Linked DNA regions of Callithrix jacchus. The protein of the gene in region 1 interacts with the protein of each later gene in a pairwise test. Links are inferred from orthologs where the notes say so. Each region holds a gene or a part of one and is shown in the gene's direction. Other genes may lie near its edges.

What was found.
Region 2: the proteins of CDR2 (region 1) and C3H4orf46 interact in binary tests that used the Homo sapiens proteins (3 or more experiments, as listed by UniProt). The two-hybrid records come from large-scale screens. The link is inferred for Callithrix jacchus from reciprocal best matches to the Homo sapiens genes CDR2 and C4orf46.
Region 3: the proteins of CDR2 (region 1) and KANSL1 interact in binary tests that used the Homo sapiens proteins (3 or more experiments, as listed by UniProt). The two-hybrid records come from large-scale screens. The link is inferred for Callithrix jacchus from reciprocal best matches to the Homo sapiens genes CDR2 and KANSL1.

Annotation. Positions count from the first base shown.
Region 1 is NC_133513.1:22,965,861-22,969,608, reverse strand, and holds the start of CDR2 (cerebellar degeneration-related protein 2), read left to right. Parts: upstream 1-1,378; 5' UTR 1,379-1,682; coding exon 1,683-1,761; intron 1,762-3,748.
Region 2 is NC_133504.1:37,670,862-37,674,609, forward strand, and holds the start of C3H4orf46 (renal cancer differentiation gene 1 protein), read left to right. Parts: upstream 1-1,284; 5' UTR 1,285-1,500; coding exon 1,501-1,686; intron 1,687-3,271; coding exon 3,272-3,427; 3' UTR 3,428-3,748. Other genes in the region: ETFDH (electron transfer flavoprotein-ubiquinone oxidoreductase, mitochondrial), read right to left, coding at 815-848.
Region 3 is NC_133506.1:86,771,382-86,775,029, reverse strand, and holds part of KANSL1 (KAT8 regulatory NSL complex subunit 1), read left to right. Parts: intron 1-431; coding exon 432-556; intron 557-1,542; coding exon 1,543-1,600; intron 1,601-1,821; coding exon 1,822-1,934; intron 1,935-2,699; coding exon 2,700-2,952; intron 2,953-3,287; coding exon 3,288-3,515; 3' UTR 3,516-3,648. UniProt on the Homo sapiens protein: Non-catalytic component of the NSL histone acetyltransferase complex, a multiprotein complex that mediates histone H4 acetylation at 'Lys-5'- and 'Lys-8' (H4K5ac and H4K8ac) at transcription start sites and promotes transcription initiation.

The DNA of each region.
Region 1 (3,748 bases):
CGTCTTTATTCTTTTACACAGAAAGACAAAAGTAGCCTTGAGTCTACAATTCCTTCCCTACAATTTCCCTTATTTTTAATTGTGCAAGTATCTAAAAAAGTAAGATCACAGGAGGGTTTATAACAAAAAGTCCCCAGCCCCAACTCAATCCTCCCCTTAGGGAAACTCTTAATTGCTCCCATTTTCAGTTCTGGCAGCTCTCTCCATATTTGTGGAAACGATTTGTTGGATTATCAATGTAAGGTATTATCTGCCGACTCACTGCTAAAATAGATCAGGATTTAACTAACACTCCTCTCCACTTCTAACAATTATTACCTTATGTTCTAATCTTTGAATTATATACTTAAACCTCGATTTTTTTGTTGTTGTTTTGTTGCTCAAACTTAGCAAGATACTGGTTCTGCTGTCTTCCATCGGCTGCACCTTTGCCTTTACTTCAAGGTTGAGAACATTGACCTTCAGGTCTGTCATCCTGCTTAAGAGTTTCCGTGCTTTGTCTGCAAGATGGTGCTAAAAGCTTAACCCACGAGCAGTATTTGCTGGGTTTTGTCGGTGGAGGACAGACAGCGTGCTCTGCCTCGCTGGCTACCAAGTGCTGGGGCTGCAGCCTGTCCCCTCCAGGTGCAATGTCATGTCCCCAGATGCTTAACTTGTGGTCTACGGGTACCTTTTAAAACTCGTATGCAACACTGCTTGCAATTTTTTCCTTCCAAGTGGACTGCTTCGGGCATCCCTCCCCGCCCCAAATTCTCAAGGGGGTCTGGCACCCACCGTTTTAGGGAGCGTCAGAACAATTCCCAGGGCTCAGATATCAAGGAGACAAAAGCTACCGCTCAATGGGCGTTTTCTTAGCCCTAAACTCCCGATCGACCCCGAGTCTCCCCGCCAGATTCGGAGCAAATCTGAGTCAAGATGCGAGAGGGGCGAGCGGGCGGCGGACCAAGCGCTTCTGGCACCCTTGCGCCTCCCGCCGGCACGAAGGACTTCCCTGGACAACCGCTCAACTCTCAGAGGTCGGAATTCTAGACCCTCAGGCCCTCGTTGCCTATCCACGGACGCGCCGGCCTCGGGACACCCACCGCAGGGGTAGGACGCGGCGCGGCGGGCTCCACAGCCCAGACCCCAGAACACGCTCCTAGGAGCCGCACCGCGCAGATCAGGGGGCGGGCTTTCGGCCGCACCCCTTCACTCTTTCCCCGCCTTCTTTGTTTATTCCGGGCCCGACATTGGCTGCATGCCCTCGAGACCGGGCGAGCCGCGCGCCTTTGGAGAGACGCGATTGGGCGAAGTCGCTGCCGCTCGGCCAGCGGCCCGCTCCCGATTGGTTGAGGAGCCGCCGGGGGTTTGAATCGCATCCCCAGCCGGGGAGGGTTCTGCCAAAGTGCCACGTTGGGCCCGGCGGCGGCGTGAGGAGCCGGCTCGGGGCCCTCGCGTCGGAACGCCCAGCCGTTGGGGCCGTTGGGGCCGTTGGGTGGCGCGACGCGAGTCAAGGAGGCGGCCGGTCGGTAGCGGCCGCCGGCGGGAGCAGGGCTGAGGCGGAGTGGCGGAGCCTGGGCGGCGGCGCGTCCCACCCGAGGGCGGCTCTGGCTGAGGGCGGAGGGACCGGGGGAGAGCCCGGGGCAGCGGCTGAGGTGGGACGGCGGCGGTGGGAGCCGCTGCCCCCGGAGGACCCAGCGGAGATGCTGGCGGAAAACCTGGTGGAGGAGTTTGAGATGAAGGAGGACGAACCGTGGTACGACCACCAGGACCTCCAGCAAGGTGAGGGCGGGGGCGCCCCTCGGGCGGGCGGGTGGCGGCCTGGCCCAGGAGGCTCCCGATGCGGAACTGTTAAAAAGTTGCTTTCTCTGGCGGTGGAGGATGCAGGTGCCGGGAAGGGCTCGGGCGCACCTGGCGGCGGGGCCGGCGGTGCCTGCGGATCCCGCCCGCAGGAAGCCTCGGCGCGGGGCCCACGGCCCTGCAAATACGCAGTTCAATATCGGCCCCAGGGCGCGTGGGGGCCAGCGGCGCGCCAGGCACCGTTTTAAGCGCTTTCCCTGGATTAACTGGTTTAATCTTCGCTGCATTCCTCCAAGACAGACCCGGGTGAACCAGGTGCCCCGCAGTAAGTGGCCGAACCCGGGAAGCCGCCCCCTCGCAGCCTGTCGACCCCAGCGCCTTTCATGGCCAGCGCGGAGGGCCGGCCGCTGCAGGTGGTGGTGGTTTTGCGCCTAGCGGGAGCTGTGTGCTCCGCACGTAACGGAACTCCAGGAAGCAGTAACTTTTCAAAAATTTATTTTTTAATGTTTGAGGGTACATAATAGGTGTATATATTTATGGGGTACATGAGATGTTTGGATACAGGCTCACATTGTGAAATAAGCACATGATGGGAAACGGGGAGTCCATCCCCTCCAGCATTTATCCGTTGAGATACTAACAAACCAATTACACTGAAAGTAACTTTTGTTACCCCATTTTCCAGATGGGAAAGGGGAGGCTCAAATGGTTAAGTCGCTTGCCTAAAGCTAAGTGTGGAGGGAGTGTTTTTTGAACCACACACTCGGAATTGTAGTCACTGCTCAAACCCCATCTCTTCTTTTCCATCCTAGTTTACAGCTTTTTTCAATTGGGCGTTAAGCTGTTAGACATAGTTCACCAGATGCCAATTGAAACGGCAGAAGAGCCCTTCTACCTCTGTCACTTCAGTTTGCATGCCAGCTTTCACTTAGAAACAGGCCTGCCGGTGGTGTCTCCAGAGAACAATCGTAGAGCGGCCCGCACTTTGGGACCAGTGGGCCCCCCTTTTTTTCATACTAATAGGAGCTAGCAGTTGGGAAACACTTTTTATGTGCCTAACACTGATAAGCCCATAACACAGTTGCTCATTTAATTCTCCTGGTAACACAATAGAGGTAGTAATGTTGGGGAGTGCTAGGGTTCCCCTTAAGACTCCAGAACATTCTTAACCACTGTGCTGAATACTGAATAATCCTCAAGAATTTTTCCAGGCATCTTCAGTTTCTGTAATTTTGTGTAAATGCTTTCACTAATCTTGCAGTGAAAATTAACATCTCATTTAGTTGAATATTAAATGATCATGATGCTTGTTCATGCTAACCGAACGTGGCAGAAGAAAAGAATCTAGACTTGAATAATTCAGAAAAGGATAATAAGCACCTCTTTTGGAGGAAGATAATTTCTTAAATTAACGTGCAATCACTTTAACCAAAGTAATTCACCTTATTATGCCTATAGACTCCAAGCTACTTAGTGGTTGCCGTGCAGTGTTCGGCACCATCTTCTTTAGGTCAAAAAGACAAATCTGTCATACATTTTAACAAACCTGTTTTCAGATTTCCCCATAAGGATTGATGGCCTAGTTTGATAGTTTCTCCAGGATTTATGAGGCAACCACTGTGCCATTGCAATATTTCCCTATAATTTAAGCAATCTGTATCATCATAACTAAATATTTTTCTTTCTTGTATTTAAGAAGCATAAATCTTTAAGGGAATAGAGGGGGTAGGTTCCTTTTTCAGGTTATTTCCAGCATCTAGCATAATACTTGTTACATACTGGAAGCCCAATTTTAATATTTGTTGAACTGAACTAAAGCACTCACACAAAATTGTTTTCCATGGCTCTCTTCCATCAGGTACCTTACTCCACGCTGCATTCTCCCGCTGTGGGAGATTGTTAGGAACAACTAGCTGTAACACTTCAGTCTACTGAGAAGCAAGTGCAAGGTGTCAGGGTTGCAGGTGGA
Region 2 (3,748 bases), on another chromosome or scaffold:
CTCTGTCACCCAGGCTGGAGTGCAGTGGTGTGATCTCAGCTCGCTGCAACCTCTACCTCCCGGGTTCACCTGAGTCTCCTGCCTAAGCCTCCTGAGTAGCTGGGATTACAAGCATGCGGCATCACACTCAGCTAAGTTTTGTATTTTTAGTAGAGATGGGGTTTCACTATGTTGGTCAGGCTGGCCTTGAAATCTGGACCTCGGGTGATCCACCGGCCTCGATCTCCCAAAGCGCTGGGATTACAGGCATGAGCCACCGCGACTGGCCTTTATAGTTAATTTTAGACAAGGCAGAAAACTCCTGGCTCCAGATACACTCAGGTGACTTGGTTAACATATGAATGTTAACCATGATGTGACAGATAAGACTTCAATTTCTTTAGACTGAACCAGGATGGCTGCGAAGACGAAAGTCAGGTCAGGACCAAGGATAAAAACTAGGCAAATACAACTTTTTTTCCCCCCCCATTTAAAACAAAGCTTTGAGGATTAGAACCATGATTCGGGAAGCCTTAGTTCAGGAGTCCACCGAGATGTGTGTTTGTTGACCGGTGGTGGTGGGTGGGGTGTGTTGACAAGTTTTCTCCGCCCTTGACCTTTAGCCTAGATATTATTTTTTCCAACTGAGGCAACCCCAGAGAGAAGCAGCCAGGGTCCACCACCCGGCTCACAGAGCGTGACCTTTGCCCCAGATAGCCTCAGAAAGCAGATGAGAGAAGAGGTGAGAGGTGAGAGGTGCCTACAGCCCCCAGGACCGGCCTTGTCGCTTTTGCCCTAATTCCTCCACTTATCCCCACCTTACGTTCCCTCTCACCCGGGCAGGACAGCTTGGCTAGCGGCACCAGCATGTTCAAAGTCACCAGGATTCTCGGTCGGACAGAACAGGAGGAATCTCCGCTGCTCGCGGCGGGCGTTGGACCTCTAGGCCGCGGGGGGCGCCATCACCTGCCGGGAAGCAAGAACTCGACCGCAGTTCGTCTACCCAGCTCTGCCGACAGCTCTTGCTTCGCGGCGTTCCCGCCTCCTTCTCACTCTGCGCCGGCGCCATGCATGACGCGGCGGACAGCCGAGGCTTCCGGGTCATGTACCAAACCAGGGAAATTAGGGACTCCAAGACCCAGCCGGGGCGCGGTGCCAGCCAGAGCGCGGCTAGAGAGGTTCACGAATCCCACAGGACAACGCACGCGCAGTGAAAGACAGTGGAAGGCGGGGCGACGCGCACAGCTTCCTGGGAGGGGTAGTCTTCTGCACGCGCGCCCTTCCAGCCCTACTAGAGGCTCGCGCAGTAGCCTTGAGCTGCCTAAGGTGGATAGATGTCATCTGATTGGCTGTCCCGAAAAATGAAAAGTCTTTGTGATCCAGGGCTGAGACCCGTGAGGAGACGGGGCGGGATTTCGGGCGCTAGGAGGCGGGGCCACTTGGCTTTGGGCGCGAGCGGTTAAAAGACAGTTGGTGTCGGTTCGGGTGCTCGATTGGATTCCGCGGTCTCAGTCCTCCCCCATGGCCGACCCTGTGGAGCTGCAGGTTTCTTCGCCTCCCCCGCCTCCTCCTTCTTCTCCCTCCTCTGCAGACGCCTCTGCAGCATCTTTCCCCGGCGGCCCAGTGAGTTTGAGCTGGCCAGTTCCGAGCGGGAGCAGCGGCCGAAAGGTTGACCCGCTGGAGGAAGTGGAGCTGCAAATCGGAGACGTGAGTGTGTAGTTGGGACTGCGTCCCTCCTCGGCGCCTCTGGGAAGACTGGCGGCGGCTGGGCCCGCGAGGCCAGGGAGTCGGTCCCCCAACCCCACGACCGGGGACGACCGGCCCTTCTGCACCCGAGAGCTTGCGGGCGGGAAGCGGGGAGTGGGAGATGCCAGCAGCTAAACCCTTTCTGAGTGTTCCCCTTTAGATTTAGCGGTGAGGAGTCTTAAGGGTTATCCATCCACCCGCCCCACTTCTAACTGGTCTCTTTTTGTCTCGCCTTCTGGTTTCAATCATCCGCAGTAACCCGAAGCCATGCAGCTCTGCGCCGCCCAGTGCTGGCTTTTTGCCTCCTCCCCTCCCATCAGAGAATAGTTTTCACTGCATGGGTTTGCTTGCTGCCTGCGAGTGTTTAGGTTCAGACTGTGATTTTTTTCCATGGGACTTAGAGCCCGCTGTTCTAGTTGGCCACCTGCCCAGGGACAGATGATAATGCCATTGTCTGCCTCAGGCCTGCTTAGCGGTGGACCCAGCTTGAAGGGTTTAGGTCACGTGGATTGGCTTCATTAAGGGTTTAGTTCAGCACTCCTTCCTTTGTATGATTGCTAGCACTCCTCCCTTTGTAGAATGCATACTTAGTAAGGATAGTTTCTGTTAAATCTCGAGTCCCCAGAAACTAGCACCCCACCTCCCACCCCTAACTCACACAAGATAGGGAGGGGGAGAAGGGAAGTCACAGTTTTATGGTCTCTCGAGTGGGTCAAGTGGAATGAGGTATGTAGGCTGTAACCTTCTGGGAGAGCTCTGTGGCATGACCTTTCTTAAGGATTGGAAACTGCGGGATGACCTCGACTATCTCATTGCTGCGCATGTATTTTTTTAAGGATGACTAAAGTGCATATTCAGCCTTTATTTTTGCAGAACAAACTGATTGTAAGTAAATATGTAGAATTTTCTTATATATTCTTTGAATATTCTACAAAGAAATATGTAGAATGAAGTGCTAATGTGTTATTTAGGAAAAACGTTTTATTTTATATCATCAGCAAAGAAAATATTTGCCTAAAAAGTGAAATTTCCACCAGGAGCTGAGTGTTTTCTGCATTCGTGTGTGATTTCGTTGATGTTGTTTGTCAGAGCTCAGAGTTTCTGTTCTTTGATCTATACATTTTCATTGTTTAAAGCGTTCACAGGTCAATGCCCATGTTACCCACATAGCAGTAAGAATTATTTATGATGAATTCCTTCAGATACTTCTGACACTTAGTGTGAAGGGGTCCAAGTCATCTTGTTGAACTGAGACTAGTGTATTTTCACAGAAAACAACAATACTGACTTGTCATGTCTCATACATAGTGAATATTTTTCTAGCAGACCTGTTTCCTCAAAGCCTACTCAATTTTCAAACTAAAGCATTGGCTCTTTCAGGGAACCTAAGAAATATTGAAGAGCCAATGCTTTAGTTTGAAAATTGATTACTTTTAAAGAAAACAGGGGCATTGGATTCAAGGCCTTAAGCTATTTTGAGACTACTTGTAAAATGAGATGAGAATTTAAAAAATAAACTTGTTTGACTTTTTTTTTTTAATTTTAGGCAGCCTTTTCATTAACCAAACTCCTTGAAGCCACATCTGCAGTATCAGCTCAAGTGGAAGAGCTTGCCTTCAAATGTACAGAAAATGCACGTTTCCTTAAAACATGGCGGGACCTCTTGAAAGAAGGCTATGATTCTTTGAAACCTGATGACTAATTTGACATACTTCGTTGTTTAATAATGACTGTATTACTTCATACTTCTTCATATGTCATATTTGTACATTTACCACATGTATAGGATGACCTCTGTTCAGAAGTTCTGTATGCACTCAGAATGAAATTTTTCTTCGTTTTTGAATGGATGTTCAATCATAACCGTTGATTCCATAACAACTTAAGATAACAAGAGTTCCGTCCATTGGCCCACCCGTGTCTTCCCTCTTGACAGGTCTCTGTGCCACCATTTGTAGCAATGGCAGTGAGAGACTTGCTCCCGGTATTATGTTGGGGTCTTTGAAGCCTGTGATTGTTGGGT
Region 3 (3,648 bases), on another chromosome or scaffold:
TTGGGCATCTTTCAGGATAAGATTTCAAGCACTGCTTTTAAGGGAGGGCCACTATGAGTCTGAGTCATAAATGGGGATAAAGGAGGGAAACGAGGATTTTAAAAGGAGAGGGGGTTAACAGAGGTATATATGGAGTAGGAACCCCACCTGTGAAATTTAACCAGTCTCTTTACACATGAGTCCATGAAGGAAGAGGGTGACCAGTGGGACTTATGAATGGGAATAACTCCTCACAACTTCCTAGTATTTCTCTGTGAGGTTTTTGCTGTTGTAGTCTGACTCCTAGGTGGGAGCAGCTGCTGTGGTCACTACTCAGTTTTAACCCAAGGACCCAGATGCCTTGTTACTGGTGATCCTGCTTTAAGTCTTGGGTGAATGATTTGATGTCTATAAAATTGTGCCTCCCTTTAAACTTAACTTTTATCTTACAGCAGCAGCCAGTAAGGAGGAGAAGGGGAGAGAGCTCATTCGATATTAACAACATTGTCATCCCAATGTCTGTTGCTGCAACAACCCGCGTAGAGAAACTGCAATACAAGGAAATCCTTACTCCCAGGTAGAAGCTCAGAATAGTTGGCTCCTCTCCTCATTCTTCCTGCTATTGCCTTTTCCCTCTTCTCTTCTGACCAAGCTTTGAGCCCTAGTCTTTGGTTCTCTTTTCTCATTAAGAGAAATTCTTTATCTGATAAGAGCGAAATTATTTCTGTGTATAGTTCTCTCTCATTCCATTATAGGTATACACCAAACGAACCAGCAGTCACAACCTGGTAGACCACTGACTTACTGGTCTAGAGACAGGTTTTGTCAACACATACAGTATGTTTTAAAATACTGAATTTGTTGTCAACATCAAAGCAGGATTTCACATAAAACTCTGGTGGCTCACGCCTGTAATCCCAGCACTTTGGGAGGCCGAGATGGGTGGATCATGAGGTCGAGAGATGGAGACCATCCTGGTCAACATGGTGAAACCCTGTCTCTACTAAAAATACAAAAAATCAGCTGGGCATGGGTGGCGCGTGCCTGTAATCCCAGCTACTGAGGAGGCTGAGGCAGGAGAATTGTCTGAACCCAGGAGGCGGAGGTTGCAGTGAGCAGAGATCGCGCCATTGCACTCCAGCCTGGGTAACAAGAGCGAAACTCCGTCTGAAAACAAAACAAAACTCTGTGTTTCCAGCTTTTATTGCCGAACAGAAAATGAGGCAGCCCTGGATATGCATTTTCATATGGGAGCAGTCAGCTGGTCCTGAACAGTGATGGTCCCCTTTAAACAGGTTTCTTTTCTTGAGTTTGTCACAGTGTCTTAGCCTCAGCCCACCCCAGGCCGCTTCTTTAACTTCTGGCCTTCGCAGGCATTTGAGTAGGTGGCCAATTTCACAGGCCTTGAGGGGTGAGGAGACTGAGCTGTGGTAGGGCAGAGCCTGCCCAACAGAGAGCAGTGTCACGTGGGTGCAGGATTCTCATCCTTGCATGGACACTCTGACCCTGCCCTGGGTTGCAGCCTGCTTGCTATCTCATGATTGTCCGTTCTTGGTTTTGCAGCTGGCGGGAGGTTGATCTTCAGTCTCTGAAGGGGAGTCCTGATGAGGAGAATGAGGAGGTAATGGCATGGTCCTTCTCTTAGAAGAACACGTGTATACATGCGCACATGTGTGCACACACACACACGAGTGCACACACCCTAGATGGCATGACCTCAAGACCTTTGGGTGTCAAGTGCAAGCTCCTTATATTCCTGTCCTGACTGGGAAGAGCCTTGAATGGGGTGGGATTCTTAACTCTAGGAGAAAAGAGGGGATTGATAAAGTTTCTCCGTTGCAGATTGAGGACCTGTCCGACGCAGCCTTCGCCGCCCTACATGCCAAATGTGAGGAGATGGAGAGGGCACGGTGGCTGTGGACTACGAGTGTGCCACCCCAGCGGCGAGGCAGCAGGTGATGGGTCAGGCATGGGTCCCCAGGGCCTGTGGAGAGAGGGTAGACAGGGAGTTGGGGCCCTACCTGAGTCTGTGGAATTGCTGCTGTCTCTTGGTTGGTCATCATATTCATCTACTGGCAGTGGGAAAGTGCTCAGAAGTTCCTTGGTGTTTGTTGGAACTAGTGGAGGTATAAGGAGCCAAGTGCTAAATCCTTGCTGAGGAGTCACTGTTCAATTCTGATAAATACCCGTGATCTGTGCCATTTGGAAGGCAGTTGAGGGGTCATGGTGATTCAACCAGGGGAGCTTGGAAGGCCCCACTACAAGTTAACCTTCCTTTGGACAGTGGCTTTGTGATGCCACTTGAAGGAACTGCCCCCCTTATGTCCATCACTACCCAATCTCCATTTATTGTTAACAGTGGCAGAAACCCTCGGGATTCTCAAGTAGAACGTTTTAGGGGCTCTTATTTTTACTTTTTTTTCTTTGACTACAGTTTTCAAAGTCTATACGAATCTTCCTTACCTCCTGAATTCAGTAGGCATTTTGATAGCGACTCACCCCGGCATTGTTCAGCCATGGTTTTTTCTTGGGATGGTAGATGTTTTATACCTACCCCTCCAGAGAGTAGTGGGAAGAATGGGAATTGCTGGATCCGAAGGAAAATCTGTTAGTCTTCGTTCACATCAGCCCCTCCTGTGGGGATGCTTTTTTTCATGCCCTCTACCCCCATAAATAAACATATTTCCCAGGCACTCAGATTTGCATTCCTTGATGTATAGGTCCTACAGGTCATCAGACGGCCGGACAACCCCCCAGCTGGGCAGTGCCAACCCCTCCACCCCACAGCCTGCCTCCCCTGATGTCAGCAGTAGCCACTCTTTGTCGGAATACGCCCATGGCCAGTCCCCTAGGAGCCCCATTAGCCCGGAACTGCACTCTGCACCCCTCACGCCTATGGCTCGGGACACTCCGAGACACTTAGCCAGTGAGGATACCCGTTGTTCCACGCCAGAGCTGGGGCTGGATGAACAGGTAAGGGACACAGCCTTTGTGTGGGGTTGGCGTGGTTAGGGATGGAACCAGGAAGGGACAGCACCTGCTGAAGAGGGATCTACATCATAAGCCATCTCCTCCTCCCTTTTGAAGGGACAAGGGGCTGCACTTAAATTGACCTCTCAACGTCCAGTGGAACTGTACTGATGATTGTTAAAAAGGTTCCCACCCTATGAGGGGTGTTCCCAGACTACCTGGGGAACTCCAAATAGACTGGTCCTAGGCTCCAGGCCACAAGGTTTATGGCAGAGCCTTGGAGCAGGAAGCAGGCTGGCTGCAACTGGGTCCTCACAGAGCAACTTGTCTGCCTACAGTCTGTCCAGCCCTGGGAACGGCGGACCTTCCCCCTGGCGCACAGTCCCCAGGCAGAGTGTGAGGACCAGCTGGATGCACAAGAGCGAGCAGCCCGCTGTACTCGGCGCACCTCAGGCAGCAAGACTGGCCGGGAGACCGAGGCGGCGCCCACCTCGCCTCCCACCGTCCCCCTCAAGAGTCGGCATCTGGCAGTAGCAGCCACAGCTCAGCGCCCGACTCACAGATGAGCGGGAGACAAGAATCTAAACAGACTCACTAACTATTGGCATTAAAGCTTCAGAAATCTCTGCGTTTGATATTCAAACATCATATGCCGGAAATTTTCACAGTTTTTAGTGAACTTAAGGAATTTAGATCCTA